2 linked regions of the Drosophila melanogaster genome follow. The protein of the gene in region 1 interacts with the protein of each later gene in a pairwise test. Each region holds a gene or a part of one and is shown on either strand. Other genes may lie near its edges. The genes, in order: zormin and rols.

The links.
Region 2: the proteins of zormin (region 1) and rols interact in a two-hybrid assay, tested with the Drosophila melanogaster proteins (one study listed by BioGRID).

Annotation. Positions count from the first base shown.
Region 1 is NT_037436.4:2,144,220-2,160,591, forward strand, and holds the start of zormin (zormin), read right to left. Parts: upstream 7,482-16,372; 5' UTR 7,391-7,481; intron 6,063-7,390; 5' UTR 5,871-6,062; coding exon 5,526-5,870; intron 1-5,525. Other genes in the region: CG15822 (uncharacterized protein), read right to left, coding at 9,586-10,188, 10,260-11,184, 12,415-12,923, 13,155-13,519, 14,028-14,777, 15,886-16,060, 16,118-16,231.
Region 2 is NT_037436.4:12,057,430-12,073,925, forward strand, and holds the start of rols (rolling pebbles), read right to left. Parts: upstream 7,431-16,496; 5' UTR 7,133-7,430; intron 4,481-7,132; 5' UTR 4,480-4,480; coding exon 3,552-4,479; intron 1-3,551. Other genes in the region: Sema5c (semaphorin 5c), read right to left, coding at 10,706-10,924, 10,981-11,183, 11,250-11,405, 11,470-12,380, 12,489-13,295, 13,370-13,572, 13,636-13,767, 14,158-14,331 and 1 more.

The sequences.
Region 1 (16,372 bases):
ATGTTTGTTTGGCTTTTTGCAACAATTTCATTTTGTGGCTGTGCTGGCGAGTGCTCCCATAAAGGTGAGCTAATTGAATACAAATTGAAATTGGCTAATTAAAGCGACATAAATCAAATGCTCGCGAGTGTTTGTTCTGCTCCTGATCAAACATAGGCCACAGTGGCCATAAAAAGTGTGTATAAACAGACTAATAAAAAACCGCATCAATATTCGTGTGTGTGTGTGTGTGTGTGTGAGCGGTTTGATGGAGAGCAAACAGCATTAATGTATTGTACAAATACCCATATGCAAATGAATTTACTGAATCTACTTCGGTGTTTTGTGGATAGCACGCTCTGACGCGTTTACCCTGTGCCTCCATTAAACCCAACTTGATTTTGTCATAAAACAAAAAACAGTATTCAGCTATTTTGTTATTGTTCACTTAGCAGAGGTTCAGCTTTTGTGCCGCGATCATCAGCTGTGTGTGGCCGAGTGATGTCAGACTTTTTGGGTTCTATAAATACCAGCGAACATAAAACAATTTCTGTTCAGGTTTTTGTGGGTCGCACTTTCCCAGGCCGACGGCGAATTATGAGCACACGTATTGGGCAATCTCGTTGCTGCCATCGAATGCAATTTAAATTTCAATTTAATTCGCGGCCAACAAAAAAGATAATTTCTATAATTGTTTCTACAAATTATTGGCCACGACTCACTCGCATCTACCATCCGCAGCATCTGCAGCGGCAACATCTCGATGGCTGTTGCGCCTTTCCAGTTGCAGCAGCAGGAGTCGCCTGCAACGCGCGACTTTCATTGAACGTTTATCGGCGACTATCAGTTGCCATGTAAACATGCAATATATTTCGCGTCTCTAACTTGAAAACCACCGAGCCGTCGCTTCCACTCCGGTAATTACAGCAGCTGGATCCCCTACAGTGGACCGCCGGAAAGCGAAAATTGCGGGGTATCTTCTGCTTTGAAACTATCCCATGAAATTGAACGTGTATGCCTCTATTGAGTCGATGCAAGAATTTTGCATTTAGCAGAGCGATCAACAGCGATAATGGGATAATAATTGGTTAAATACAAAGTATGGTTTTAAATCGCATCGTACTATATGAGATACGCATATGCTGAGAGCTCACTGTATACTTTGGCGTTGCAAATGTATGCTTCTCCTCGTGGAAAACCCCCCCCTTTTGCATAATTTTCCACGAGCCGCTTTCCTTGCTTATCAATCAGTGCGTGCCAAACTGTTTTGTCAGTTGCGCTACGTAGCAGCTGCACTAAAGCCACCGATTGACGGCATATCCCCAGCCGGCTTTCGAGTGGATCCCGATCCTCCTGCCCCCATCCGATGAGCAGACCCATCCGAATCGCAAAACACCTAGCCAAACCCAAGAGGCAAAGAGACAGCGGACTGCGTCTGCGCATAGAATACATTATTTTTAGCGTTTTAAAGCGTTGACGACGCTTTTGGTGTTGGATACTGTCAGTTAGGGCTGGAATTTTTCAATTACTGATAAGATTTACGGCCAATTCCCGTGACACGCCATCGGGCAAATGAAGAAGTGCCATCGAAAGCACAGTATGCATATATTTTCGTAGGCCTGCATTAGGCGTGGACTTAAATCTTTTTTTTTATGGTTGTAACCAGATTAGATTAAAACATCTTATTAAAGCTAGTGCGCAATTGCTATAAGCTAAAATAAAATGTGCAAGAAAAAAGCTTTTGTTCAGACTCCGAATAGTTACTTCAAAAAGAGAATTGATTTAGCAAAAACTGACAAAATTTCAAACCAGAAAGTGACAAGAGCGCCCTTGCCGTTCGCCTCGAAACAGCGATCATAAATCACAGTGACAAATCGCAATCACGTGACTGAATGGCAGCTCTAAACGCGACCAAGTCGCAGTTTCTGGCAAAATGGGATACCCTGACGACTCTGTGCAGAGCGGGCGGAATGCGCAGCTTTTCATGCGTAAATTTATGTGCCTGCCAAGCGTCGTAAACATTTCTTTCTTTTGAGCCTTGGTGCGGCTTTCTATCGCCCGTCTCTTTCGCTGCACGTGATGCCATCTCTTTCGTCCATTAGACAGTGCGCACTGCGCAGCTGCGGCGTTTCACCCACGCCGAAGGCCCAAGGCAATGGCACATACATATACAATACATACATGGCTCGTACAGTGCCGGGCATAAGTATATGCTCATATATCTGGCCAATTTATGAGTGAAATGCTGCGACTTTTACAAATGAAAACGCCATAAATTCAATTAGAGTTTTACGTCTTACTCCTCCCGTGGCGCCTCCTCTTGTGCAAATCAGAGCAAATCGCACCAAAAGTCCGATTCGATGCGATTCGAGATTGCGCAGACCCAAGATCTGGAATCGAAAATCCAAAGCAGGTCGACAGTCGCGCCCCAATTGCTTCATTATGGCCAAAGCAAAGGCTCAAATTAGTTTCGCGCATTAGATTCAATTAAAAGAGATCTTCAGCATTCGTGGCACGCCTCGCATTTTCAACGAAAAGCGGAAAATCTATTTATTTAGAGAGAGTTTAGCTAGGCAAACATGTAAATCTTGTGCCTTTGAAGTTTCTTTTTCCAGTTTGCTTCAGCCTTTTAATTGCCTTGAAGCTAATTTTTCATTCGCGAGCCAGAAGAACATAAAAAGAAACGTTTTGTAACCAGGCCCAAAAAATTTTTCCCTCATTTCAAACACTTGTAAATATTTTCGTGTTGCATCAACAAACATTGTAATCGAAATTTGCGTCAGAGCCAAAACCGAATCATCATCCATTGAGATTGATGCCCGGATGGCCGAGAAGTTGAATCGTCTTGGTTAATTAGCTCTGGGTGGGGCTCGTCCAAGAAGTTGATAGGTTTCCTTGGTGGATATGTAAATCATGTCAGGGCGATTTTAATACAAGATGATTTGGGTTGCCCATGGAGATAAAGATCCAATTAAACGCTCTGCCGACAGACAACGTACTTCGTTGTATCTTCGTGGAACTTACCACATGTCTTAGACATTTCTTTCAACGGAATATCTTCAACTGTTTTTCACAGGCAAATAAATGTCATTTAAGTAGTCACCACAGAATCGCATTGTGCCACTAAAAACTTGGTAGATATTCATATTTTCTTCCAGCACTTAACATTCAAAATCTTAATAACTCAACTTTGTTGTGAGTTGTGGAGTATGGGTACACAGAAAGAAAAGTAAAGTTCTAAGGTCTCATAATTTTAAATTGGTAAAAATGAATATCCGCATTACAGATAGTATTGTTTAAAAATAGTAGCAAAACTATCCTTGCCAAGATTTAATACTTAAATACAATTTCTTGCCACTTGAAATTTCTTTCTGTTTAGAATAAACTAACTGAAAGAATTGTCTGTTGTCTGTTTCGAAAAATAAACCCAGAAAGGAAGGAAACTTTTGACATATTTGCATAGTTTTAAGCTACGAGCCGCGGGACGAAGGGGGTTCTGCCAACTTATTGTTTCCTTAATCTTATGCTGAAGCACAAAGTTTAAAGAACTTCCGCCGCCTTTCTTCCCCTAGAAAAAAATCTCCCACCGCCCACGTGGAATTTATAACAATAATAATAAGGAGCTGAGCTCATCGAACATTTTTTAGCTCATACATTTGTTTCATTTTGTGTGTGTTTGTTGCACATCTGTTGGCTTTTATTGTGGAATATTGTGTATTTATTTGTACACTTTTGTTATTCTTATTTCAGCTTTTTTTTTGGCTCTGTTCCGTTGCTAATTTGTTTACCTGCGAGAACCGGGGAGAGAAATCGCTCTTGTTTATTTTCAACAGCATTTTTGGGACCAGTTCGAGAATAACGAAAACAACGACAGGTAAGCAATTATTTAGTTTCGTTTTTGAATTTCAATACTGTTTCCAAGCAGGCCAGCGGAAATTTAAAGAAATCTGTATATTTTTGGGGTCGCGAGTTTTCAATTCATGGAAACACGAGTACACGTATACAACAGAAACGTGTTGAAAGGCTCGTCAGTAAAATGTTTTTGCATAATTTTCAGAATCAAAAGTGGAGGGGGGAAAAAGTTGTAAATCAAATCAAATGTTTAACACATGGAGCCGTGAGTCTCGAATGGCATATGAAGCAAAAATAGTTATTCTGATGGCCAGCAAAAAAAAAAAAAAAATGGCACAAAGTGGCACACCGAAATTTCAATGATCCGTTGGTTGAATGAACAGAAAAGGTGGTGCAAAAAGGGGCACAGTCCCCTTGCCCCTTGCCGCAAAAGCCCATAAACCATTCACCGATGCCCATAATTATTGAATGTTTTTTGTTTCGGGGCATAAAACTTGTAGCGCTTCATCAGAAATGTTTCTCAATCTCAAGTTCAAGTCGCATCTTCAAGTTCGAGCGATTTGGAGGGGTTGGAAAAGGGGGCAAATCTGCGGAGAAGACCCAAACAAAGTTTCTCTCTGAAGAAACTGATTCTGCCAGCTCGAAATGGACCCAGACAGGTAGCAGCTGCGCCTAATTGTCGAAAGTATCTGGCAGATACATTTCTTTTTGTCACGTTTAGTTGGCTTTTGTGTCTTTGCTCTGATGTCAGACAACCTTGAACCTTTTGTGGCGTTTGTTTTTCTGCTGCCGTTTTTCAAATATTTATAACCGCTATCAACAACTTTTGCTTTCGTTGTTCGAGTGCTAATTGGCGCGGAAATCGCTGGAAGCCGGTTTAAACAATCGAAAATTGTAAGCCAGTTTTGGGCATTAGAAGTTCATGAATTTTTCAGTGCTAAAGTCACATAGTTTTGCCTCAGATCCGAAGGGGCTAGCTATGGGATAATTATAGAAATTTATCAATTAATGTCGACCGATTGGTAGTGAACATTTGCTTGGTTGGAGGCTGGGCCATTTAATAATAGTCGAACGTTGTTTTATAGTGATAAATTGATTGAAAAATGATTTGATAACAATCTGAGATAATGTATCTATTGAACTATTTTCTTTGCTTTACATCTCTCAGACTGTTTTTGCCCCACTACGCAAAATGAAAAAAATGTAAATATATAATTGCACTGTCATTAATAATGAACAAAGATTATGTCGTCATTCAAATGATAAGCTCATTTATATTGAAAAAAAAGGTTAATATATTTAGACTGGCTTAATTGGTTGTTATGGATTTTTATAGCTTCACATAAAACTGAGTCGAATGCAACTTTTTTCATAAGATGTTTCAATGACCACAGCTTATCCTAGATGTTTCCCCGTGTTTTCGAAACCTGACTGCACTTCTAGATTTATGATTTATTCAAGATCTCCCAATGCCCCGTCCCAAATCTCTTTTGAAGTCCTCCCAGATCGCCTTCCGCATAAATTTCCGCGCACTTCAAGAGCTTTCTCCGAACACTTCTCCCGTATCTAGATAAATGTTTCTTCATGTTTGTTTCCCATTTCTTGGCCTTTTTGCTGTGTGTTTTTTGTTTGGATTCGTTTCGTTTTTTAGTTTACTATTTTTATTGTTTGCGGGGTACAAGAGTACAACTCACTTGTAGGAGCGCTATCACCAGCTGGATGGGTCCGCATCGGACGACAACGGTGCCAATGGTGGTGGCTCTCAGGGAGGAGGAGGATGGTGGTGTGGTGTGGGTGGTGCCGGTGCCGGTGCCCGTGCCCGTGGACATGGCTGTGGACATGGCCTGACTTGGAGTCGGCGACGATGATGACATTGTTGCTGAATAATTGAAGGCGTCTAGCTGGGACTGCTGAGATTGCTGGGATTGCTGCGTCTGAAGTTGGTGGCCGGTGTGCGGCTGGCGGGGATTGGGATTCGAGGAGGAGGCGACCGAGTAGAGCGAAGACATCGATGAGTCTAGGGCTTGGCGGCGTTCCATGGTTGCTTTTCTTTCTATCTGCTCGTCTCTACTTCTCTCTGTTTTCTTTTTTTTTGACTAACTTTCGAGGATTGAGTGAGTGCTTGTAGTTTGGTGTGTTTTGCGTGGGCGTTTTATAATCTCTGTCGTTTAGTTTTTCTCGTATTTTGGCTTACTTCCCCTGCTTGTGTCTCGTGTTTTGCATTTTGAACTCTGCTCGAAAAAGTGGAACTATTAGATTGAGTCACTCGCGTTCGGATTTAATTTATTGGGATTAGTTATAGCCAGGGGATTCGATTCGGCGGTTCCTTCGTTTCGTTGCGAGCGCTATCAACGCCGGCGATCGTCTGAGAACCTCCGCGAATCGGTAGATTTTCGAAACGGAGAATTCTTTTTGCCCGCCGCGATGACTATGACTTCATACTCGCGCTCTCCCTGTCGCTCTAGTGTCTGTTTATTATTCCGTAGTGTCTATATATACGGCTATATAGCCGAGAGAATCGTGTGTACTTTTTGCATATTGAGCCTGAGAAAATTGCCTTTGATGCGTGTGCTAGTCTCGTTGTAGAACCTCGGTAGCCCCCCGCCCCGCCAAAACTCAAAGACAATGCTCGATTCGCGTTTATTTTTAAAACAACAAACTATTGAGTAATTTTTTGCGGCGATTTCTGCCACGAAGCTAAACTGTTGTTCTAGCCCAGATACTCAGATACTGCGATGCTACAGATACAGGCTACTATAGCTAATAGATAAAGCGCGCGGATGTTCGTCAAATCTGTAACATGTGCCAATTGCATTGGCAGAAGTCGTCGCCAGTCAGTCATTTTTCATGGATTTTTCGATATTTTTGAATACATTACGCATACGCCGCGTATGCTCGTGTGCAGCCAGCTGCCTCCATTAGGTAATTTTTGGTGTTTCTCTCAATTTTTAATAGTCGCCGCCGTTGCTGGCGTAATGTAAACTATTTTAATTGTACTTTGCGCTGTCTAAAAATAAGCAGCAAACCAAAAATTGGGAAGAACAAGTTCCCTTTATAAAAGTTTACAGTAGCGCAATCGAGGAAATGCTTTGCCTCCATATGTTGTTGTCCAAAAAATTTAAAAGAAAAAAAAATGGAAAATTGTTGATTGAAATTTTCTGGGGCGTGGACTGTTGTAGTATATTGAAATATGCACATGACTCAAACAAATAAGCTTTCAATGCATCAGGTCACCGAATATTTTTGAAAAATATTTTTTTCGCGCATTCTGTGTCGTTTTCTATTTGTTAAACATTTTGTTTGTGCTTTCTGAGGGTCGTCACAAAACTGAATATTCGACAACAACAATAAATTTAGCACAGATTGTTGATTTCATCTTTAGACGAGTGAACGCAAAAAAAACTAGCGCCAAGCATTTTTGAATGTCAAAAATGTTCTAGGTAAATTATGGCTGATTAATTTACGTTTCATTTCGCTTTTTTTTTGAAGTGCCAAATTTATTGTTTTCTTCCTCGTTTTCTGCCTAACTTAATTTACATAGATATGTTTTTATTCGCACATTATATTCGAGCGGTGGAGATGTGGAAAATCAAAACGCGCGCGCCGCTTTCCCAACAGCCGAACAACCGAACGCCGCGAACTTCGAACAAGACTGACTAAATGATCGGAAGACTGAAGACCGGAGACCGAAGACTGAGCAGATTCTACGGGAGACAGCCGATCAGAAAGAGATAAAGAGCGTGCAGCCCATGAAACTTAACCGATTCGCTCAATTCATTCATGCAGGTAGCGGTTCTCTTGTTTTGATCTCTTGACACTGGCTAAGCTCAGTTTTGAAAAGCCGGCTTGTATTTTGAAAATGAGAGAGTGTGAAAGAGAGGGCTGGAGACGCTAGACGCTAGAGAAAGAGGCAAGATGCGGGGCTTCAGGGGAGACGACATAAATAAACAAGTGCTCTTGGCATTCGCGGCGTCGTTAATTCATGATTTCAATTTTTAATGCCCTGCGCCCGGCTTTTCAGCAATTACAATACGAAGAGAAGGTAAAGCGATATGAAGCGAGCTTGTACCCTGTAATTCTGATGATAAAGGGTAACTTTAAGCGAACTGTTGCTACCCTCTTATGCCCTCACTTTATTTATTCGCATTTACTTTTGAATATTCATCTAACTTAACATCTTATGTGTGGATGATTTTTCCCCTTGGCTAGACCTTTTCCTCGTTGGTCTTATACACCCCATATAAGACGAGGTACCTTAAACCACAACATATTCAAGTGCAGCTTTTGTACTTTAATAACATGGTGAAGAGTGGAAGATCAAAATAACAACACCAGAGCAGCGGAGGAAACCAGACGATATCGTGTCTTAATGCAAGGCAAACTGACTGACCGCCCGCATTTAAATCCCCTCACCACCCATGATGCTCTATACCCCAATTTATGAAGTATTTTTCACCCAAAATGCGTGTCTTGCAGCTTTGGCTTTGGCTCCGGATTTCGTGCAATATTCAACGTGCAACATCCGACGCTTCTTGCGTGCAACAGCAGTTGCGGCAATCAATGCGCTGCAGATGTGTGTTATTATTTTTCGCTATCAACGATTCGAACTTATCGAATTATGCTTTCAGCGCCGGCACGTCAGAAAATCTGGTCGAATGGCATGAAAAGAATCTCATAGATATTTGGTTCGCCTTTCTGGATGATCAGCTCGTTAAGTATAAACTCTTTTCACTCACTCACCACACTCAGAGCGATTTATTTATATGTTTTTTAATTGAGATTAATGAGCCACTTGACGAAGCTCACAAAAGCAGCCAACCCCTCTTAACCCCATTTCCCCGCTGCACCCACTGCCAGTTCACATTTCAGATAATTGAAATCACTTGAGGACCACTTGTTAAATGTTTGGGGGAAAGGGCCACCCACAGAGGGAAATTGAAAAAAATTATTTAGGGTGGAAAAGTCCAAAAGAGCACTCAAGGGTTAAGTGCAGATGATGGCAATGACTTTTCACGGATGCAGCCCAAAGTTATGCAATGTTTTCATGGATTTTCGAGATTACATTCAAATTTTGCAGTTACGAGTTACTTACTTGCTTAAGCATAAAATTTAAAACTAAATACCTGAAAAGTTAGGAGGTATTGAAAAAAATTATAAATGATTAGCTTTATTTTTGGGGTAAAACATGTTCGATATTAATTGCACTATGTTTTGTGACTGTGACTGTGTGGGAGAAATAGTTATAAATAAATATTAAACATATGATTAATGGCAAAAATTTCGACTGGCCGTAAGTGAATTTAAATTCTTACTTTAAATATATTTTCTAACCATTTGGGAATTCTCTAATTTTTGCAAGCCTTAGACTTAATTTGAACTAACTAAATAAATATTTCTACTACTATATTTAAAGCAGAGAAAGTATAAGCAAAAGACATTTTTCAAACATAAAATATTTAAAAACCTTTTGCGCAGGCATTTTAGTATATCTTTTAAGCTAAAGTTCAATCGAACTAATAAATTTTGGTAGAAAACAGTGAACAATCATGCAAAGTAAAATGGCAAACAAAATAAAAAAGACAAAAACTTTTAGCTCATGGGCTAAAATTGGTTTTGGGAAAACAGCAAAAATAGTATGCCAACTAATTAATGGCAAGAATGTCGAGGATCGGCAGAGAAGCAAATGGCGCTGGTTAATTGGGCGGGAAATCGTTTTGTGTTCATCTTTCAACTGGGACAGCTTGTCCAGATCTCTCAGAGAAATCCCTTGATCGTCTGTTTCGTTATGTTCTCGTAGTATTTGCTGCGTCGCCAAGAAGGCGGCGGTTTCGATTCGTTGGGGTTAGTTGAAGCCGGAGCGGTGTTATTGGCCGATGTGTAGCTCACCTCCGGCGTGTGGGCGTTGGACATCCTGGGCGCCAGCTCCGTCGTAATGCCAGTGGCCAAATTGAATCCTTCCACCTCGCTGTCCGATTCGATGGCCTGCGGCAATGGTAGTGGCAGAAGCAGGTGTTGCTGCTCCTCGTCCGGAGTGGGCGTTACACTCTGACTATGCAGCTCTGCCATGCCCGCCACACTGTCCTGATCTTCACTTTTCATCCTCTGCTGACGGTCGGAGAAGTAGCTCATTTCGGAGCTATCAAAGGACATATTGACTGGCGAAGGTGGTAGTTCGGGTATTTCGAATGTGCTTAAAGTTGAGTCGTCCGCCTCATCGAAGGAGTTCTTGGCCGATCCTATGTAGGAGCTAGTGCGTCCTGAGGCTGTTTGAAAGGATGAGGAATGCGAGTTCGGCGTAAAGTTGCCTTCGGAGGCAGTGGCGAAGGATTCGTCCTCGGTGGAGCGCGATTGCCAATCCTAAAGCGACGAGATTAGTACCATTTTACACAAACGGAAAAAGAATCAACATTTTTATTATTTAAACTTACCTCAATGCTTCCCAATTTTTTTATGCCATGTCCTCCAGTGACATTGCTGATTCCATTGCTAACAACGCCCTCCTGCTGCTGGACATCCCGGATGACTGCGTCCAGGGACTCGGCTACCTCGGCAATGGCTCCCAGCTTGTGGGAAATGGCGGCGCAGGCCAGTTCGTTGCTGCCTGTGGGCACCACTTGCACAGTAGCTGGCAGGGTTTCCACGGGTATCTCGCTTCCAGCACTGCTGGTCCTTCCACTGTCATGGAGTGGACTTGGTGCAGTGCAATCCAGGGGTAGTTCATCGGCCACGACACTAAAATCACCAGAGAGACGGGGATTATCGGGAGCTCCGGAATCCACTGAGGCAGTGCGTGAGTGCGATGGTGTTTCATTGTCGGTATAGTCGCTATGCGGATATGTTTCACTGTCGTTGCGGATGAGGGCCTTGATCTTGTCCAGACTCTTTAGCGGCGGACCCGAATCCACCTCATCCTCCTCCTCTTCGGTTTCCTCCAAGATAATATCCCTTTCTATTGAGGCCTTGGCTATTTTGGTCTTGACACTTGAAGTACTGGCTGTCTCATCATCGTCTTCATCCTCGTAGTCCTCATCTTCACCTTGGCCATCTTCGCTGCTTAGTTCGGGTAGCTTACTGGCCTCATTGATAGCGTCCAAAAGTCGACTTAGATCGCTGGAGGATTCACTTAGGATCTCAGGGGGGCTCTGTACCAAATCCTCCTCTTCGCTGGCCAAAGGAGCAGAGGCATTAGCCTGATAAGCAGCTTCATCCAGGGATTTATTTTCACCTTCCTCAACCGGAATCTCCACCTCATTGGGCGGTTCATCCACCACAATGCTGGGCACTTCCGGCCTGGGTCCAACCTCCTGCTCCACTTCCTCATCGCCCTTTGATTTGGCAAACAAATTACGAAATCTGGCAAACATTTTGAGCTTTTTTGGGTTCGCTGCCTAGTTGGCGCCTCTTTTTTTTTGTTTTTTTTTTTTTTTTTTTTGGGCGTGGAACAATTAGTTTGACGTAAGGGGCAGCAACACGCGTTTGGCTAGTGGCCAGTTGAAGTGAGCTACGTCTCTCTGATAATTGTAGATTCAATTATTCACTTTGCCGGGATAAGCATGCAGATATTTCGAGAGTGGAACCATGAAGACACTTCTATATTTATCACCTTCCTATCACAATGCTCCCCGCTGTGACCCACTTGTCACGCCTGTTCTCCAGCAAATTCACTCTTTATCTGATATGTGCTCTATACATACATATATGCTTTGACAAACCGACAGTTTTCTTGAGTTTTCCCGCTCCGTGCCGAAAAACGGAAAACAGAAAGGAGGACCGAACGACAACCGCACTGGACCACGCACTGAAATAGACTGCTTGGATTTGGACGCCGAATCTTGGACGGAATGAGCTGCTATATAGAATAGTTCTTTTATTTTATTTCAATATTTTTTTTGTGCTTCTTTCGAATTTTGGGTGGTGGAACTTTTGAGTGCGTCGCGGCAGCTTGACATTTGTTTCATTCAGTCAAAAATTATTTTTGGCTGTCTAGTTTGTGGTTACTTGGGAAGTGTGGTTCGGTTTGATGGACTTCGAATTGCTTTTATATGACTATAATTTTTTTTGATAGCGAACAAGTTATATTTGATTTAATACATTTGGTAGGTGTTGTACACGTGTTAATGGCTTTTGAAGAAATCGTTTTATTTGTCGTAGGGCAGGATGTTAATATATTCAGGCTTGTATGGGATATTTATCTCAATAATAAACTTTCTGACTCAGGTTTTATTTACAGCATTGAGTTCATAAATGAAGTCTGTTTTTTAAAACCTGATTATCATGATTTTTATATTTTTATTGCCAAGTTGCCTTTGTACTTTGTTTTCCAAATACAATTTATCATTTCTTTTAGTTTTATTTCTAGCAACTTGTTAGTTCTTTGCTCTTTTTCTAAGTTAATTTGCCGCGAACTCGTGGGGATTTTAGTGGAAATCTTTCTCATTTTTATTTGATATGCAGAACGTTTTGCAGTTTTTGTTTCTGAGTTTTATGCGTTGAGCATAATGAAGTAGCCGCCGATACAAAGTTAAAGTCCATGCACTCACGCACCTGCAAAAGTATTATAGATTTTTAGTCGCTATAACTCACCTCTTTCCTGTTAATGCGTCCAGAACGAAGGGCTCTTTGAGACGCTTCTTCAGCAATCTTCCCAGTCTGACCATTCTGCCCACTTCGACGAGCAGTTGCTCCCTGGCCACCAAGTGCCTCTGTAGTCGCGGAGGCATCTCCCCCAATGGAGACAGCTCCGATTCCAATTCTGCCTCGGCATCGCTACCTATTCCACTGCTGCTGCGGTTGTGCTGCTGTCTTTGCTGCTGCTGTAGTTGGGCGGACAGTTCCTTGGTCAAAAGGGGTCGAAGTTCCCTCAACTGGCGGTAATAGGCCTCCACACTGCGGTGGAAAACGGCGGAGACGCGCAGTCTGGTCATTTGCTCCTGGGCCACAGACTGTAGGCTGTGCCACGTGTGCTGCAGTTCGTCACTAATGAAACCCTGACTGGAATTGCTTTGTGACCTAAATGATGATGGTTCCAGTTTGCAGCAGAGGCGCAGCGTTTGGGAAGCCTCCAGCAATTGGCAGCCATAGTGGTAGATGCTCTAAAGCAGAAAGCATAATTAGTACATATATGCAAAAATTTTAAAATCAGAGGATAATTTTATCAATATCCTAGCAATATGTAGATAGTTTTTAATAAATATGATACAGCTAGATAGAAACCTTGGCCAAACAGTCACTCCCCGTCTCTGTCTTGCAGTCTGGATGGATTCCCTCCATCTTATTTCCCCCCCAAAAAAATGAAGTCGCCCGAAAAACGGGGGAAAACTCACCCGTCCGGTTTCCTCGAACCCCTGCAGCTCATCCTTCTGCAGCTGAATCTCGTGGATGTTGCAGCCGACATGGGAGTGGCAGCGCAGCAAGACGGCATACAACTCCTGCAGCCAGTCCCGCGCCCTCCGCGCGTCCTCCTCGTAGGCGTGGATGTGGGTCACCTGCTCCAAGGTGAGCCGCTGCAGCGCTAGCCGATGTCCGCACACCTGACGACGACGCCGGCTCTCGTCGATCTGCCGGCGCAGCTGGGCGATCTCGGCACTGTAGTCCAGCTGGAGGTCACGGCCCAGAGCGTCTTTCACTGGCATGGCCAGCATGTCGCTCAGCTTTTCACCTTCACGCACAAGTTCGCGCTCGACGTGGCCTGTGGATGTTGGAAACATGTTTAGAGATCGGTTGGATGTTGGATATAGCATGTTTAGAGATTTGTTGTTTACGGCTCGAGTTCGGACAGACCTAAATATACAACTATGATTTTATTAAAATGTATATTATTTCAAATGATACGATTATTTAAGCTAATTAGGAACGGTTCCATGCTAGAAAGAGTATTGGTTCGATGTATACTATTTGAGTTGCAGCCAAATCATGCTGTGTTCGATCTCAAAAGATCGAGTTCCAGCAGATGTTTTGAATGCGTTCATATTAACCTTCTATTCATTTAAATTTGAAAGCGTGACACTTGTTGAAAGTATTTGGTATGATTTTTTTGTTCAGAATACTTTTTTGTCATATCCATGGTAATTATCAGAGCAATTCTAGCTTATTTCAAGGTTCGCTGGCTATATTTCGAGTGTAGTTGTCAAGGCTGCATAAATATTTCTTTAGCAATATACAAAATTACACTTGTTTGTTAATATTTTTAAACTCACCCAACATTTCCTGGTTTTTATTGAGCTGCATGAGTAACTGCTCTGCCTCGGGCCAGTCAAGCGATCGACTGTCCACCTCCACCACATGGTTACCGGTGGCCAGTAAATCCTCAAATTGATCGAGGAGGCGATGGAACCTCAGGGCGGTCATCAGTACATTTCTTCGTCGCTCCAATCGCTTTGCAAAGGAGCGACACACAAACTGCATGAAGTCTCGCTGCGAAAGAAGATCCTGGCATCGGTCCATGTCCTTTGAAGATGCCTGCCTTTCAGCGGCAAACTTTTCGATCTTGTAGAGCAACTCCGCATAGCAACCGTAGGTTTCCCGGCACTCCAGTTCCAGTTGGTCGTGAGCAGAACGTAGTGCCTCACATCCCCTAACATCACCTGCAACGCTCCTTTGGCGACTGAGTAACAGCTCGGCCTCCTGCAGGATCCAATTGGTGACGAAGGACACTCCATCCTCCAAAGTGCTGAGTTCGCGTGCCTCCCTCAGAGATCGGAGCAGTTCCAGCCATGCAGTCCGGATGGCCGTCTGCTTCTTTTCGATCTCATTCAATCGCAACTCGATGCGGGTGCGTTCACAGGCGAGATCGGGTGGCAGGAGGGGCTTCTGGGGGGAACCTGCACTGGCGGAGTGGGCAGCGATGGGCGGGGGACCCGCAGGGGACTCCGAGGCAGGTGCGACCGCTTGTGGCGGCGGTGAATGCGTCTCGTAGACCTCGTTGAAGCGGGCCAAGATCGCGTTACCTGAACAATGCCGACATGCAAAGAGAAAAGGGAAAGGGGATGAGAAAATGGCACTCTGAAAAATAATCTATACCTGCAAAACATTTTCTATTCCCAATCACTTATTTAATACATTCTTGACTGGAATTGGTGAAGACATAAAATAAATATTTCCTTAGAATTTTAGAACATCAATCATCGTATTTCTCGGAGTGTATTTTTGGGCTTTCATTGCGCGGGGATCGGATCTAGCGCTATTCACACATCCACAAAAGTGAAAACTCACGCCCGGAGTGGTTTTTTAATCCCAGTCTAGCTCTTTGGACTGTGGCATGTGCCACCATTTCGATGCGCATCACCGATTTTTGTGGCTGTAAGTGAAAGGTCACGATTGTTGCTGTTGCTTTGGTTGTCGTTTTGCCAAACCCACGCACTCAAACCAGAACTCTTCCGAATTTGAAGTCGTTGTTCAAAAATTGAAGTGTGAACACTGTGAAACACGGTTTGCTCAGGGCACAATGATCCCCAACCGCAAATGATTCTCGAAAATAACTTAATGAAGCCAGAAAAGTATTTGATTCTTAGCTGTGGCTTTCATAAATTCTGAATTAATATGTGGAATTCATGAAGTCATGATTGTTAAAGTCTTACGAAAATTTTGATAATATTCGGGATGTCTGCCATTTCCAATCAATCAATCTTTCTAATTTCACAAACAATTCTCAATTGTCAAATCATAGCCAAGTCTATTCAACATCGTATGGAACTGTAGATTTTAAAATTATCTTATCAAAAGACGCATTTCTACCTAAAAGACCTTCTGTAGGCCTCAGTATCCAAGCTCAATGTTATTCAGTGCCGTTAAAATCAACCCACAATAAAAATCGACAACAAACGGCGCGAAAAACGAGTTTGCCAAACGTGGCGCATTTCTAATTGAAAACACACACAAAATTCAATGATTTACTTGTCACATGTTGTGTGTCTTTCTTTCCGTCTCTGTCTGTCTCACTTAACTCGTTTGCTTCGAGGGCAAACCGAATTATGTTAATTGCTCGCGGGGCAAACAAAAAACGACTAGCGAACAGACCAAAAAAAACAAAAGACTCAAGCAACGAACTCGACTCACCCAAGTCGATGGCGGTCTCTATGTCGTTTTGCACACCGGCATGCATCTGGGCGCACTTCTTCAGCTCCACATCCGCTTCCGCCGGCCGCAGAGACTTGTGCTCCCGCAGAAGAGCCAACAGTTTCTCCATCGAAGCCAAAGTCTGCACATGCGACTTGGTGAACTCGTCGATGGACTGCGTAAATATAGCCATTATGTGCCGTTCGAACGGTACAGAAATTGGGGCACTTACCTTGCGCTGCTGCAGCCACAGATCGTAGTTGAACTGCAAGGTGCCGCCCAGTTCCTCGGGCAGGTTCTGCGGCTCTATGAACTTGAACAGCCTCGCCTTCGACAGCACCAGGGGCTATTAAGAGAGCACAGTGAGAAATTAATGAGTTCAATGTGGAAATTCTAATTACTATGTTGCAGTTTATGGTTATGATATATTTTATTAGGAACTAAATCGATTTAATGGGAAGCTATTTAAATCTTTAATTCACTTCTT
Region 2 (16,496 bases), 9.9 Mb from region 1:
GTTGTCAAAGGTCTAAAAGTGCTGTTTTCGATTCAAAAACAATCTACTACCCCAATTTATGTGCGACAGATTTATTCAACCGATTGGCTCGTATCTTGGCGAGCCCATTACCCATTTAAAGGTATTGTTGCAATGCTCCCAACATCATCAGCAATATCAGCTTGGTAATCAGCAATTCTGGTAGCTTTCGAGCCCATTAGCAATCACGCTGCTGTTGCCCAAGCCACAAACATTTCGATAAGCGAAAGCCGGACACTGTTTCAATTGCATTAGAATTAATCTACTCATTAGCAGGGGAAATCGACGAGCACGGGGCTCACATAATAGAATGCTACCGCTGGCAGTTGACATCGGTAATAGTTTGTAATCGCCCGAATGTTCCAAATCCCCACAGACCCTGGAGTCGATTTCATGTTGAGCCCCCCCTCAAATGAGCTAATACCTTTGACACAATCTTGATTAATGGTCGTCGATAAGGGGAGCGGGACGAGCTGGCAGTATAGGTTGGGACATCTGGCTAAAGTTTTTCTATAACTTGGTCAAGAAAATCTGTGCTGGGCAAAAACCCAGAAATGACATGTAATTGCAAGCGTTTCACTTGATAAGAAAGCCATAAATATGGTACCAGATTAGATTGTACTCCGAAAAAAAATAGATTTTTTTATAAATATAATATTTGGCTTCTTATATCACTGTTTTACATTGAATTCAACAAAAATTTAAATCAATTATATGAACTATGCTGTCATCCATAGATCTCCCCTTTTCCCTTTCATTATCGCAGGTCAAGAAACTATCTGACTGCAGAGTTCATCTCATAAATACTGAGAGAGCTATTTCGAATTCAGATTCAAGTGCAGCGTCGATTGTGGGAATTTGCCGACTCGCGTTTTATCGAACACAAAAAATGCATTCGAATTCGCCGGTGCGTGCGCGGGAATTTTATGAGGCTCGTATCTGAATCTGCGACTGGGTCGGAGTGCCGGGATTCATTCCAATAAATAGTTGGTCTGTCCGAGGAGTCCATGCTGTGCCCACGGGCAACAAAGTTGCATTTGCAACTGCGCTTGGCATCGAGCTTCAGTCGAAGTCCGTGCCGATTATCCGTCAGATGCAGATACAGTTGAGCTTGCCTAACAATAACCGTTCTTCTTACGTGAGATACTTTTTCTTCGAGAGTCAGTTTTTAAATTTCACAAATCACTGATTTGTGTTTTTTCTACATTAGTATTACTTTATAAGCTGATATGTTGTTTTTATTTTTTGTATCTTATGAAATTAAAGTAATGGATATGCACTGTACTTCCCAGCCGGTTTGGAGTTTGTTGTCCATTCATGGCAACTACCGTTCGGGTCTTTTGTTTGACTTTGTCTTGCGGCCGTCATTCCGCTTCTATTTGTAGATACAAGCCCCCAACAACTGCTCCATTCCCCATCCTCATCCATCCGCAATCCTCGCAGCCCCTTTCTTCGCCTCAGCGAATCTTTGTGTTTTGGGTTCTTCTGCAGAAGAGGTGCATATACCTGTTCGTAGACGCGTCTTCCAAGCGCTCTTCAGCTTTGGTTCGCCCACCGCGCTCGTTCTCGGCGCAATCTCAAGTGTTTTTTAAAAGTTTTCCAGCGATAAGCCATGTTACTTTATGGACCCATCCAGTCGCATATCCAATGCCTCGGCTGCTGCAGCTCCATCATCATCATCATCATCATCAACCATCCTAGTTCGCCATGGTCGTGTGCTGTGTTTCGCTTTGGTGTGATCATGATGTATATGATTCATGACTTTTCACTTTTCCGCACAAACACACACACACGCAGCACTCAGCCAAAGACGCAATGCTGCAGCACAATGGGTTTGGAATGGAAAATCTGTGAGAGTTATTAGAAACCTATAACTAACTAAAAAGCCATTTTGATTCGTTTTATTCAAAATATGAAAAGTCTGAGGTAGGTGATGATCAGCACTGCTTCTAGTTGCACCTTTTAACTTTTAAGCTCTTCTAGCTGAGAGTAGACAAGCTAGACCAGACTGACTGTCTGAATAAATTGAGTTCTATATATTTCTCGATTATTAGAAATATTAATTGAGAGCTAAAATATTTTTGAAATTATTCAAATTATTCAAATTTGTGTAGTGCTAACTGCATTAAAAATATTAAACAATTTTTGAATGTATCTCCTAAATATAAGAACGGCATTGAATATATTTTTTACTCTTAAGGCATTTTAAGTGAGATGATGATGCCCAAAATGGTTAAAAGCATTTTAATGGCCGCAGTTGGCGAAACCACCCACTATGCATAATTTGAGGCTGACACTTTTAACCCTTAGCATAAATTCTCATCAGCTTTGTGCCATTGGAGTGGCACGTAAATTACTGTGACATTGCACTTTGCAGCATCATTTGGCAATTTGTTGAGCACTTTTGTTGGACGCGCAGCTCTTTTTGTTTTTTTTTGTATGTGTGTGCCAGTTTATTGATTGGTTTTAAATTAAAATGGAAGTCAGCGGCGTGTGCATAAATCTTGGCCAATTTTCCTATTAGAAACTGTCAATGTCAGCGAGTTTTCACCCCGAGGATCTGTTCGATCGGCGACTCGGTCATATGCTAACCAAATGGAAGATGGATAAACGCGGTGAATATATCCATTTGGATGATTTATGACCCGGCCCGGCTTGTTAAACATCTGTGTGAAATGGGCAAAGTCCGGCCACTTGTTTGGCTTTCACTGGCTTTGTTTACTCTATTGCCAATCGAATTGTGTGCACTGAAACTCGTAATGCTCCAAAAACATTAAAAACCTATTAATAAATATACTTAAATGAAAATATATGGATATAGTTTATTTTCAGCTATTCAGAATGTATCTGCCAGATTCTGTGAAAGTTGTTTCTGAGCTAAACTTTATAGCTTGCCAACAATTAAGAGCCTTATGCTATAAACCTGTAGCTGCATTTTTCTGAGTGCATGTTAACTTCCCCACGGCCAATGGATGTTTGTTAGTTTTTCGGCCGAGGATATTGCTGATGATGTTGCACTTGAAGATTGGTGATGAAGGGGGACGCAGGAGACTCAGGAGACATCGGGGTCTTGGTGGCCCCTAGATACTTTTGGGGAAGGTGGATGTGGAAGTGGAAGTGCTGGGGGTCAGTGTTGCCGCCTCGCGGGCTGCCTTTCTAATGGCGAGCAGAGCGAAATGGGTCCGCTGCGAATGGGTCATTAAAACGGTGCGCCTGTTTGCATGTCCGGTAATGAAGGATTGTAAATGAGTTTAATGCCCTGCTGCCTTGATGGATGGATGGCCATTTCGGTTAAAAGAAATCATCACAGAGAAATCGACACAGTGATCAATAGCAAAACCGATCCTTGCTCACAATTTACAGGTAAATGAATCCGCATATAAATGAATTTATGGACTTCGCCTAAAGTTAAGGCTGCGGTTCTTGATTTAACGATTGTATTCGATCTTCTTTAAAACGTGTTATTAAAGTTATTCGCTGCTTATATTTATCGCTTATATATAGGCAATTTATCGTATATACCCGGTACTTACCACTTTCCGCTGCACTCAAGCACTTGGCGGCCATTTCCTCGTTGAGCTCCTCGGCGGGATTCCCATCGCCGGAGTCCAAAACACAGCTCACACTGGCAGATCCCCAGTCCAGCGCACTAACGCCATCGCTGGATATCATGGACAGATCCATTGGCGGCACTGAAGTTCCTCGCAAAGTGCTGGTTCCACTAATGCCACCACTGACCGAGTCGCCACCACCCAAGGATGAGTACTTGAGATCCAGCGAGGAGTTCATAGATCCGCCGTATAAGGAACTGGTGAGCGAGGCGCAGGTGGAGTCGAAACTCCGATTGCTGGCTCGTCGCTTTTCCGGCGTGGCATAAACGGGTTCCGCCTCCTTTCTGGGCGTGGCACACTCGGAGTAGCCCGGCGCTGCAGTTGAAGACACTTCGCTCGTCAACGAGCCATTCAGAGCTCCATAAACCGAGGTCATCATGATGTCATTCCGATTGAAGCTCGGCTGCCAGAAATCCTCCTCCACATTGCCAGAGTCGACAAGATCAGAGGATTCCTCCTCATCCTCGTCCTGCTCCTGCAACTGCTCCTCGGCCACGAGCTCATCCAGATAATCGGCCTCCAAAAGGCGCGATTCATCGATCATTGCGATCGTATCGTCCAGATTCTCCAATCCCCCATCCTCGCTACCCGACTCGTCCTGCTCCTCGTTGGCATTCAACTTCTGGAAGGTCTCGTCCGCCTGCTGCATCATATCGTAGGCATGTGGAATGGACGATCCGTGCAACGAGTCCGAGTCGTTCTCCTCGATGCAGGACAAGTGTCGGGTGCGAAAGCCATAGACGATTCCATTGGCCATCACCTTGGGCGGCGGGTTGATCGGCAGCGGCGGTGTCTGTAGCTCCGATTGGTCACCTTCCATCGCGAGCGCAATTTGCTGCAGCGAGGGCATACTGTAAAATATTTAAATATATTATTTTCATATTTAAAAGTATTTCAAAAATGGGGTTAATGCTTTTTTTATTTTTTTTAGCTTACGGTTAAAATACAATCTTAAAGTCAACAAGAAGTATGGCACTGTACATTTAAAAGTATCTTTGTATGGATTTGAGCTATAAAAGGTAATGCTTTCTTTGCATTTCTCCCCATTTACGAGCACCAGTAGCTTCTCTAAACACCACTGTACCTGACTAATGCCGCACATTAAACATAATTTGACATATGTAATTTTGGGGCTGTCTTGATTTTAACGGTCCTCCATGAAAACGCACTCGAATATGGGGATTTCCAGCGGAAATGAGTTCAGATCAGTTGAGCTAGCTAGGCAGATAAAAACACGGAGAAATACTTTGTCCCAATCTACAAAACTATCTTTTTAAACCAAATCTGATTTGTTACAATCTGATTTCTGTGCTGACTATCTGTATCTTTCCATATGAATTTAAATGTAATAAAAATGCAAAATAGCTATAGTTTGATTTCGGGCTTAGATCCTAAAATTGTAATTGTAAGTCTGTAATGGGCGGGCTTCTAGTTTAGAGTTCACTTTAGCTCGTGGCATGGATTTCTCTCAGTGTAGGTGCATCTTGAGGTGCGAGCTTGTGCTTGTGAGATAGCGATAAGCCGGGACAACTTTAATGCCACTTAATGCCCAGCGAACAGTGGGACGTGAAATTGTCCCAACATCAATCTTCGGCTCCAGCAGTTCCCACATGGAAGGAGGCAGCCCGGGGAAATGGGGCACATGGGGTACTGCGGTACATGGCAACTGCAGACATGCAGGGCACTGCGGAGCACACAGGAATGGAGACGGAAGTGTCCCCCAGGCGATAGACAACGAACTTCCCCTCGTTTTTATGGCCACATGCGCATCTCGCTCACATTTGGTGCGCGTGCGTATCTTTCTATCTTGTTCAAGTGTGAGGGTGCCCCCTGCAGCGATTCTGGTGTTTTCCTCAGCTGCTTCTTCCTCGGTGCAAGGAACTCGAAGTACAGTGGATCTTAAGTAACATGAAATCAAATATCAGAGGGTATAGTATGCACTTTCCAGGAATATTCGAACAATTACAATACCTATAATAGGTTTTAACTATGCGAGATTTTCTTAGAAATGAAAGTTGGGCTTAGCGAAGTTTGACTGTAGTTCTTTAGCAATGTCATCGGCCTCTTGACATATCCATCCCCCCTTCCTCTGCTCCCCCTAACTTTCCCCTCGACTAGGTGTTGCAATAGTTATTGTTGCTGCCGTTGGGTCCCCCATTCCATTATTTTAGATTCGCTGGGGAAAAACTAACGTTTGGCTTGTGCCACTGCCACCACAAGTTGCAAGTTGACTTTGGCAGTGCAAAGTTTTAAATAAACATTGCCATCGGTTGGTTTGCGGGCAAATTCGCTTTAGTCGGGGCTGAACTTGGTTTGCAGTTTGCTTAGGTTTGGCGATTATGCACTGCTATTTTTTAGTTTTTGCAGTTTTGTATTTAAGAAATATCTTTGAAAAGCGGCACAAAAATATTATGAATATCTATTAAAATGGTTTTGGAGCCATATAAGGTTAATATAGCTATATCTATCTAATGGCATATATGATTATATCATATTTACTATAGGGAAGTAACTTATATTAATAAATATATCTGATCAAATCATTATGCCTTCATTCTTCTGTCGTCTTTATAAATCTTACTTACATTTACTTATGTATATAGATTAGCTATTACATTTTTTTGCAGTGTAGATTTTCCACAAAACTAATGCAACAAACAAATTACTCTAGGCGACGAAAAACTACACATCCCTAAGCGGTACGAAAATAGATCGGCCAAACGATCGGCGGCGGAAAACTGGGGTTGGCGGCGCGCCGTGGTTGCATTTGTTGTATTTGTAGTTGTTTGTCGTGCGCCAAGGGGCGTGGCGCGAAGGGAGGGCGTGGGGATGCAGGGGGCTCTAGGATCCCCAGCAAACTGCATTAAACTACTTTCCGTGCAGTTTATTGCTTCGTCTGCGCGCGTTTCTACTTTTAGCTATGCCACGGCTGAGGTTGTGTGCGTGTGGAGTATCTGTGAGAGTCTTGAACTTGTGCTTCTTTCTTTCACTCTTTTTGTGTTGTTTACATCTTATTATTTTTTTTTTTTTTCATTTTTACACATTTTCGAGCCAATGGGCGCCCCATCGAACATGCGACATTTTTCAGTTGGTTCCCAATTTAAATTCAGCTGCCTTTGTTTCGGCTCGCCGCTCAAGACATTTCCACTTAAATGCCCTGGGATATGGTCACTGAACGATGCTCCCTTTTTAGGACCCGATCCGCCAGATCGGCGAGATATTGCGCATTCCACCAGATACTAGGCGACATCGAATTACTTGGGCATTACTCATTGCGCGATTATATTGAGCTTTTATAAAAAACTTATTCAGAAAGTTATATGAAATTCTTTGAGAAATGTACTAGGTAATAGTAAATTGAATGGATCTTTATGGATTTTTAAAGTCAAGCTGTTGTAGTTTCATATCCGCCAAATGATTGAAGTGCATTCATTTGAACTTTAATGATTTTAATAATCAAAAAAGTATGCTACAATATATGCGTATACATTTTTAATACAAACCTTTAATATCTTTTATAATTCCTCTGCTTGTACAAGATGATAAGTTCTAGTTGGAACAATCCTGGAATTTCAGTTTTCCCTTCCGTTTTTAAGATCTATCCGCACAGTGGATGTTTAACAATATATATTTTAGGAACTTTATGCAATCACGATTTAGGTTTTTCAATGGTAGTGCCACTTTTGTCAATATTCTTTCACATTCACTTTATCACTGATAATCCAATGTGGCAATTAATCCGATTGGCGCTGCTGTATCCGTATCTTGTGTCCGCCGTAACCGAATCCGTATCCGTACCGAACGCGCGCTGGAATGCAATTGAGACGAGCGGATTGCCGAGCTGACGGCAACTGCATCCGATGGATGCAATGGAATATCAGAAGTGAGGCAGCGCAGCCGCAACAGCGCCCTCGGCAACAGGAGGATATATACTATGCGTAGATGCTCAGATACATCCGTGCATTCGGATGTACGTGTATCTGCCCCAATGCTAACTAGACGAAGAAGCAAAGACGGCGCTAAAAATAGTCGCGGGTGCAGAACGTGAAGTCAGCGCCGGTCCATCACTTTTGTTAGATTCCGTTTCCAGAGCTGCGTTGCCCATTTGGACATTTTTCAGCCAAAAGTTGGAAAATCAAATAGTTCTCCAATCGTGCATAGAATTATTACATAATATTTTTAAATATTTTGCAAACTATAATTATACAGTTTATAAGTATTTAATTTTCTTTTATTATAGATTTAATTAACTTCATTTATCATATTATTTTAGCAACATTTACATTTCATTCTGAACATATCTGGCTTCGAAAGCAGACGTTGCGTCTGTTCTCGCTGCACCCCGCGAAGTGTTCTCGGTTTCTAATGGGATGTGCCCCATCTTTTCCCAAGAAAAGGGGGTGAGTGGGGGTGGACTCGAGCGGAGTGGAGTTTGGCAGCGAAACCAAAGTGTCGCTTGCTTGGTTGCCATTTAATTGCACTGCGATCTTGGCTGTCGGACTTTACTCTGTGTGTTTAGGGGAGTGGAATGGTCGAAGTATACCCCAAAAGTCTTAACATGGCAGAATTATGACTAAGTTTATATATCCAAATCGTTAGTGAAAGATGGGAACTGCAACTTTACAAAGCTCTAACGAGTTACATAAGTAACATTAATATGTTATATATGTACAATGATCAATAATAAGTTTTGAGATACATATGCATATGTAGGTTTAATTCCAATTTCAGGTATTTTCGATTTCCATTTATACATCAATTTTTAAATGTATTTTAAATTCACTGTTTCGTTTTATTATAAACAACTCGTAAATTGCAATGATGCAACACCTGTTGGAGTGATTAGCAAATGCTGTCATTGGCCACAGATTACATATTATTTTCTGCGTTGCTGCATTCTTTTCCAATTAGCCTAGATCCCGGTGACTGTACCTGGGAATCCAGAACCACCTAAACCACAACCCCAATAAGCAATCCTGAGCCGGAGTTCAATGCCCATAGGGTGAGATTTTCCAACGCAACGGCAACAAGTCTGCCGCGCAGGACGGGATACAATTGCAGTTCGTTCAACCCGGAGGCCAAGGATGAGCCGAGGTGAGCACATGGGGCTGGCATCCACGGATCTATGCGACGGAAATGGACTAATTTTTCATGTTTTGAAATTGGATGACAGCGACAGGAGGACACACTTCCCGCGAAGGCGGCGACGCATGCGCAGTACGGAACGGAGTTCGTCGACCTCGCGGATCGAAGATACAAGATGCATCCGTGTACTAAGTAGTTATAGTTACGCACGGATTGTATTACACGATAGATGAACGCTTCGCTGGAACTGCTGCGCTCAGGCGCTGGAATTTCGGTGATTTTTCCTAGCAACTGTTTCAATTTCTCGCTTTCCCCGTATTTATCTTTGCCCACTTTAATATCACTTCCACTTTCCACCGTGCGACTCCCATTCGTTCTCGTCCCCTTGGTGTTTGAATGATTTGTGACAAATGGTCGGCCTGCTCAAGAAATCCTCTTAATCTTGGAAGATTACTCGAGCACTCCACGTACTGATAAATTATTGTGGGAACCTCACATAAATTTTAGAGTTCATGAGGATTTGCGGCAATTGATCGCTTTTTGATCGGAATGCATAGAGAATATGCCTTTCTAATGTAGATATAAAAGCGCAGTGCTAAACTTCAATATCGTTTAAGTAAATTTTAAATTTGGATATTATTGATATGATGTGGAACATAAGCAGACTTGCGATATCGTATGTGGCGCCATTAAAGTGTGTATTCTGTTCGTTTATGGAACTACGACCATTGGTTGCTGACCTGGCTAATAAAGGGTTGTGTTTTGGCTGACGTGGACTAAAAACGAGGGTGGTTTAATCTTATTTGTATTGTGTATTCTTAATAGAGCTAATTGTATATTTATTAACATTTTTATGCCCATACACAGTATTCTGTTATAAACTTGACTCTACTTTGTATGCTCGATAAACTCTACGCCATGAACGGTATAACCATTTCCATCCATTTCTTTAGATCTTCCTGCGGACGTTCGCTATTTTCCAATCAATGGTAATTTTTAAAAAGTGAGTCAGCTTGGATATTTAAGTTTAGCTTAAGATTGTCTATTTGATCAATAAGCGAACGTAGAGCTGTTAAGCAAAATGAGCCGCATTATGTAGGGGCATGATTTAGAGCGCACACAGAACTTGTATCCTGGAAAGTGTCCTGGGTTCTGGCCACTCCAATAAAAATTAATGCATACAACAAATTTATAACACAATTTGTGCTTTAAGTAAAAGGGTATGCTAGCTTTCTTGAAAACCATGTAACGCGAAGCGTTATCAGGACACTAGCCGAGTCTATCTAACCATGTCAGTTTGTCCGTATGTCCTTCTGTCCGTCCGTATGCCTGTCCGTCCGTTAGTCCGTATGAATCGTATTCTTACCAGCTGGATAACTAAAATTTAGCATTCATCGTTAATTTCAATGGGAATCCAAGCAACTGTGTCGGTTAGTAAAACTGTATTTATTCAATTACATATCTTAAGGACTATTCTTAACATGATCGACTATGTCAGTTCGAATTCTATAAAATATGATAAGTTAAAGATATGTTCTGAAAATAAGTATATTTAATTTAGTTAAAGCAATGCTGCTTGCTTTAATTTTGTGAAATTTAACAAATTTGTTTAGACAATCATAAACGGTCAGTCTCGCTGGTTGGGCCATATCATAAGCTTACGCGATTTATACAACAATTTTTGATGGCAGTATCTACAATACTAAAAGCAAAAATAGAGATACGTTATCTGCACTCTGAAATTTAGGGAACCAACTAAAATACTTTTTGAACATAGCTGTGGGGAAATTTAGTGTGCTACATATTACATGCTATAACTACTTAATTCGATAACCAGCTAAATTAGCTTCAATAAACGACTCAATGTGAGTCAATCAAGGAACATTTTGCATCTGCATCGCTTTGGCGCAAAAATAAAACTTGTCTCTCTCGTTGTAACATTTCCATAGTCATTAGATGGCACTTTTGGATATCGAAGATCGCGGGTTTCCTTAGAACTTCTCGTCGTCGATATTACTGCGGCAATTGTTCAGTGCCGATTGTCGTTTGATCGTTCCGGATTCGCAGTCGATATACGTTTTGGCCAGAACTTTGGGCGTATTATTTTGGTGCATGTTGTTCCGATTGAGGGTGCCATTGCCGTTGCCCAAATTACTGGTCTTGGCCGGCATCCGGAAGCTGGACTGCCGTTTGGGTCGCTGATCGTAGTACTGCAAACAAATATAATATTTTATATTTAATAAATTATAAAAGTATTTTAACTTACATCCTTGGTGGGCAGACTGGAGTACTGATTGGGATAGGTGTCGAAACTGGCTGTTGTCGTCGTGGTTTTGTTTAATGCCTCCTCAGCACTTAACATGAATCGTTTCTTGGTGAATCTGTAGGTGGCCAGGCAACAGGCCACTGTGAAAAGCAGGCCAACGAAGATCACGATGGGTAGCGTGGCAGTCGAAGCAGTTTGGGTTTCTGCAAGTGTATTACATATGGATAAGAAAATGTTTTTCCATTCAAATGAATCAAAGCTTGACTTACCCTCGCACTCATTGGGCACACAGGCGGTCTTCTCGAACTCCGCACCACGGCACTCCATCGAACCGGGCTGCTCCACCAGGCAGCGGCGATGTCTCAGTCGGATGCCATCGCTGGAGCAGCTCGACCACTCGCTCCAAGCGCTCCAACCTAGGAAATCTAAGGAGAAATCAATTACATAGTTGGTTTTCTATGGAAAATGTTATGTATAATGATGACCCACCTTCGCATGGCACCATTTCACACTTCTGTTCTTCGAGTGCACGACCCTGACATAGCCGGTCGTGACCCGCTAGGCAACGACGTGTCCTCCGCCGTAGTCCCAATCCGCAGGTCACCGAGCAGGCAGACCACTCGGACCAGCAGCCCCATTCGCCGTGTTCCAACTCGTTATCCAGGCTATTACTACTTAGCTGTTCTTCCGCCGGGCAGGCGTGTATATTGCATACCCGACTCTGGCTTCCACGACCGCGGTGACGTTGCTGGACACCACCACCGCAACTGACGCTGCATGGTGACCAGTCCGCAGCATCGGAGTCCGCGGAGTCGTGATCAACCTGCCGCTGGCAGCTGCCATCAGCATGACAATTGCGCGACTCCTCCTTGGGCAGGCCAATTCGGACGGAACTCGGATCTGGACTGGTGGCACGACAGACGAACCTGAATCGCCTCTCCATGTGCGGTTCACTTGAATTTCCGCTCCCGGTCACCGTTAGCCACGGTGTCCAGGCACTGAGTTTGCGCACCTCCTGACAGCTCTGCATGTTGCACTCCTCATAGTCCAGCCGACAGCCCGGGCACTCCATTCCGCCATTGAGTGGAGCCGGATCGTTGCACTCACGTCGTCGCATTCGGAAACCACCGCCGCACTGGGCACTGCACTCACTCCACTCGCCCCACGGTCCCCATCCGCCATCCACGGACTGCGGCTTGGCCACCGGGCACGGTGGCAAGTGGCGGCAGTACATCTCCGACTGCTCCGATCCCACACAGGTGCGACCGCCGAATGCCGGACGCGGATTTCCACAGGTGCGTCGTCGGATCTTCACGGCAATGCCGCAGGTCTGGGAGCAGGGCGACCATGCTGACCACTCCGTCCATCCTCCGTGCTGCGTGCAGTTCGTCACTTGGGTGCTGAAATAAAGGAAATATAATTACAATAGGTTCCTTACTGCCTCTTTATAATTAAATTAATTTGTATACTGCTATATTGGTTTAACAAATTATACAAATTGTACACACCTGATGCCCTCGCAGGTGGCACCTCCATGTTGTGGCTGAGGATTGTTGCAACTGCGCTGTCGGCACTGGCAATTGCTATCCGGCTGCTCGTGCTGCTGGCAAACGGCCCATGGACTCCAGGTAGACCAACCGCCATCGATGGGGGCATTTAGTACAGGACAGGTGATCTGTGGCGCCTGATGCCAGTGTTGCAGTACAGAGGAATCCTGTGGCTGTGGCATGCAGCGCTCCACCAGTTCGTTCCAGCCGCAGTAGGGATCCATGGAGTTCAGACAACTTGACTGCGACACATGGCGACTGCAGTGCTGGGCGGGAATCCGGGTGAGCGCCAGATCGGTGCCCAGATAGAGGGAATCACTGACTTTCAGATAGGCCATATTCAGTAGGCTACTAGTACCAGTATCGTCCGCCTGCCAAAGTTCCACCAGACATGTCTGAACTCCATCGCCATCGTACTTTACGGACAATTTCTTTATGTGATTCCCACTGCTGGCCACGAAGAGCACGTGCACTTGCTCCGTCTTTGTGTTTATGATGTCCAACGCCAGGCGGCCGAATTGTTCCAGTTTGGAGTGGTACAATGGCTCTGCTCCAATTGGCTGCACTGCCTCATCCATCAGTTGGTAACGTGAGCTCTCCAGCCAGTGGCCAATACTACTCGTTCCGCACTGGAACTGACTCCGCTGATTCGTGTTGACCGTTTTCCAGGCCGCATCCGAGTGCTCCTGCTGCTTAAAGGGTCCATCGAAGGCTGCGTTAATGGAGCTCAGGTTGTAGGCACAAACAGCTGATCCAAATATGCTGGATCTATAGGTTTACGAAATAAGGAAAATGATGAGTTTTAGTCAAGTTAAAAGATATAGAAGTTGCAGAATACTTACCCCGACGTTCTGAAGGTGGCATAGAGAATGGATTCGGATTCGGCATACGTCATGCCTTGGATCTCATCGAAATAATAAGGATATTCGCCAGGCAGTGAGCAATTGAGACGAGCCTTCAGAAACGATGTCCAATTGTCCCTTAGCAACTGACCACCACCGCCCACATCATTCTTGCACACCCTAGCAACTCTGGAGTATATCACCTGAAAGTGCATTAATCTCTTAGCTTGAAATAGAATTTGTATGAATTTAATGTAATCACTCACCTTGCCACAACTCATGTGCTCGGCGGCCGATTCGCGTAGCAGAAAATATACAAAGTGGCCAGCCTCGAAGCTTCCCACGAATTGGGCTCCACTCAGCCAGTTGTTATTATATTGCTTGGTGCGGAGGAAACGCTGAAAATTGGATAATAGAACCATTAGAAGTGTGGGCAGGGGTGTGGCCTAACTACGCCAGCATATGGATCTTACTCAAATGCATTTTATTGTTAAAATGAATTAAGAATCAGCATGTCTATTTGTTAAAAAAAAACAGTCAAGTTAACAATGATTTTGTCCAGTTACATTTGTTTCGGTGCTTTAAAAATGCACATAACTCATACGCCGTGTGGGCTTACAAAAAATCAGATTCTTTAAAATAAACTTTTACGTTGAATTTATAGAAAATAACTACGAATTTGGTTATATAAATAAGGAAAATTGTAAAACTCTGCTTAAGTGATAATTTTTTATATATTTTTTACAAATATTACTCATCCGCAGTGTGTGATCGTTTCAGATACCCACCTTATTGGACTCCACTCCTGTTCGCAGGATGGCCACATCGCTGCCCGAGAAATCAGTGGCGGTGCCCACAAAGAGTTGCCCATTGGACTGCAGCAGACTGGTGCTGTTCGCCTGCGGATGAAATGGACACTTGACCACGCCGCTGTCCACGCCGGTGACTGTGAGGTTCTCCATCTGCAAGAAGCACCAAGGGTTGGGGTAAATGGCGCGTCAGACTGGCGACTCCAAAGAATTGGACACGAATTGGTCGACATGGGCGACTTGGACGACCACTCACCTGGCGCCACGAACAGCTCGGCTGGAAGGCGTTCGTCCCACACGCGTACAGCTGGTTCTCACCGTAGCTGTGGAGCACGCGCACATAGTTGCGACACCATCGCTCCGACTGGCCTTTTGCCTGGCACATGGCGATCTCCGATGGCGTGGCCCCCCAGCTGGCCCGCTCCAGCGGCTCCAGGTCGAAAGACATGCGGTACAGGGTGTCCCTGCAAGGAAAATCGAATGTATTCAATTATTCAGTCAAATCAGTTCAATGTGCATATTACTATGTTGAAGTAAGTGGAGCATACTTATTAGATCAATTCTCTTCTCTTTAACATCAAGTAATATTATGATATGATTCTTATAGCACAAATTGAACTACACTTTCTAGCAAATACTATTGCACTTAAAATCCAAAAAGGACTCAGATTTTTTTCCGATTTGATTGCAGTGTATGACCGTTGAAAGGCGACCGATTGGCCAGCAATAACAGTTAGAGAGGCGGCCCACAATTGTTTACAAATAAGGCTGACTCCGGCTCCAGCTTCAATTGCCACCCCTCCGCACTCCCCCCTGACCAACAGCTGTCATAATTTTGAACTGGTTGGCCGCCAGTGCATTGAACTGCAAGGCAAACAGGTAACAAAACTTGGCTCCGCCACAGTGGTACCCACATGCAGTGGATTTTAGCATTCTAAAACTCATGCAAAACTATTGTGGGCGAAGGCTGAGCACTAAACATTACATATGAGCTGAATTCATAAAATGGTAATAAATTTAGCAAGTATAAGAATAATATTTTATATCATTGTTTTTCTAACAAACGTATTTTATTCGCAATATGTATTTGTGTAATTTGCAGTATTTTCTATATATTACTAATTTTTTTCATTTAAGTAATTTTGTAAGTTACTACTGTAGCCCGCTAATTTTACCAATTATTCTAACACAACCACTGTGCTACGCGCTTTTGGCGAAACGAACACGAAGATCAATAGATCAAGTGCAACCATTTCGAATGCTCGAGAAGCAATTGCTAAATGGTTACATCTCGACTTGGACAGCCGCATTTTTTCCAGCTAAGAGGTGGCTTTGGATGGCGATTGGGATTCAGTTTGGAATGGAATGGAGAACTGTGAACAGAGATCGGAATCGGAGAATGCCGCCGTGCTTGGGCTTTAGAAGGAATGCCGCCGACCAGACGTCGCCAAAGATCCGAGCGAAAAAAAAAGAGATCACTGCCCACAGTCCGGCCATCTAATGGTCACTTGCGGCTGTTTAGCGGCCTTAGGATATAAATTGAATGCTGAGTTGCGCAGAGCAAGTACACTCGAAGAAATTAGCATATTAATCTGCAAAAAATAACTCTCGAATGCTGTAACTTAACTGCAGGCATTTAAACACGAATCGTATGACTATACAAGAAACTAAATATGAACTTGCTTATATTCTTGCAAAATAAACAACTCTGAATAGCCATTCGTTAATTTTTTTCTCAGTGCAGATACTTGATCGTCAGCCAGATCGCCCAATATCAATCATTTGGATTGCAGCTGGCGCAAGGCGCGTGGCACATCAGCCCCCGTGCAGTTGTAACTCAGGTGAATATGTATCTATACAAATATATGTGCGTATATATGTATACCGCTCAGGTGTAACTCGAGCTCCACGCGATGCTTGTGCGTCTTAAGCGGTACGTGATGAGGTAATAAACACGCCAACTCTTGCGAAAAACGCAGCTCAGCCATCGGCAAACATCATCGCCCTTCCCAAACATTCAAAGTGGGACCCTAGAAGGCAGCTGTCAATATCTCTGGATATTATGGGCTAAGTGAAAAGGTGTATTTAAGGTGTTGGCAGATGCAAATATTATATGACTACCATGGTTGCTACACGCTTGAATTACTGCCTTTGATTAAGTGTTAATTAATTGATCTGTCATGATATCTACTGCAAAATAAATTGAAAAGATACCATGAAAATGATCAAACCTATTTAAGACTATTCATAATTTTAATTTGGCATGTAATCGTATATTTCGTCAGATTCCTTCCTTTTTCGGTTTATCCTAGACTTAT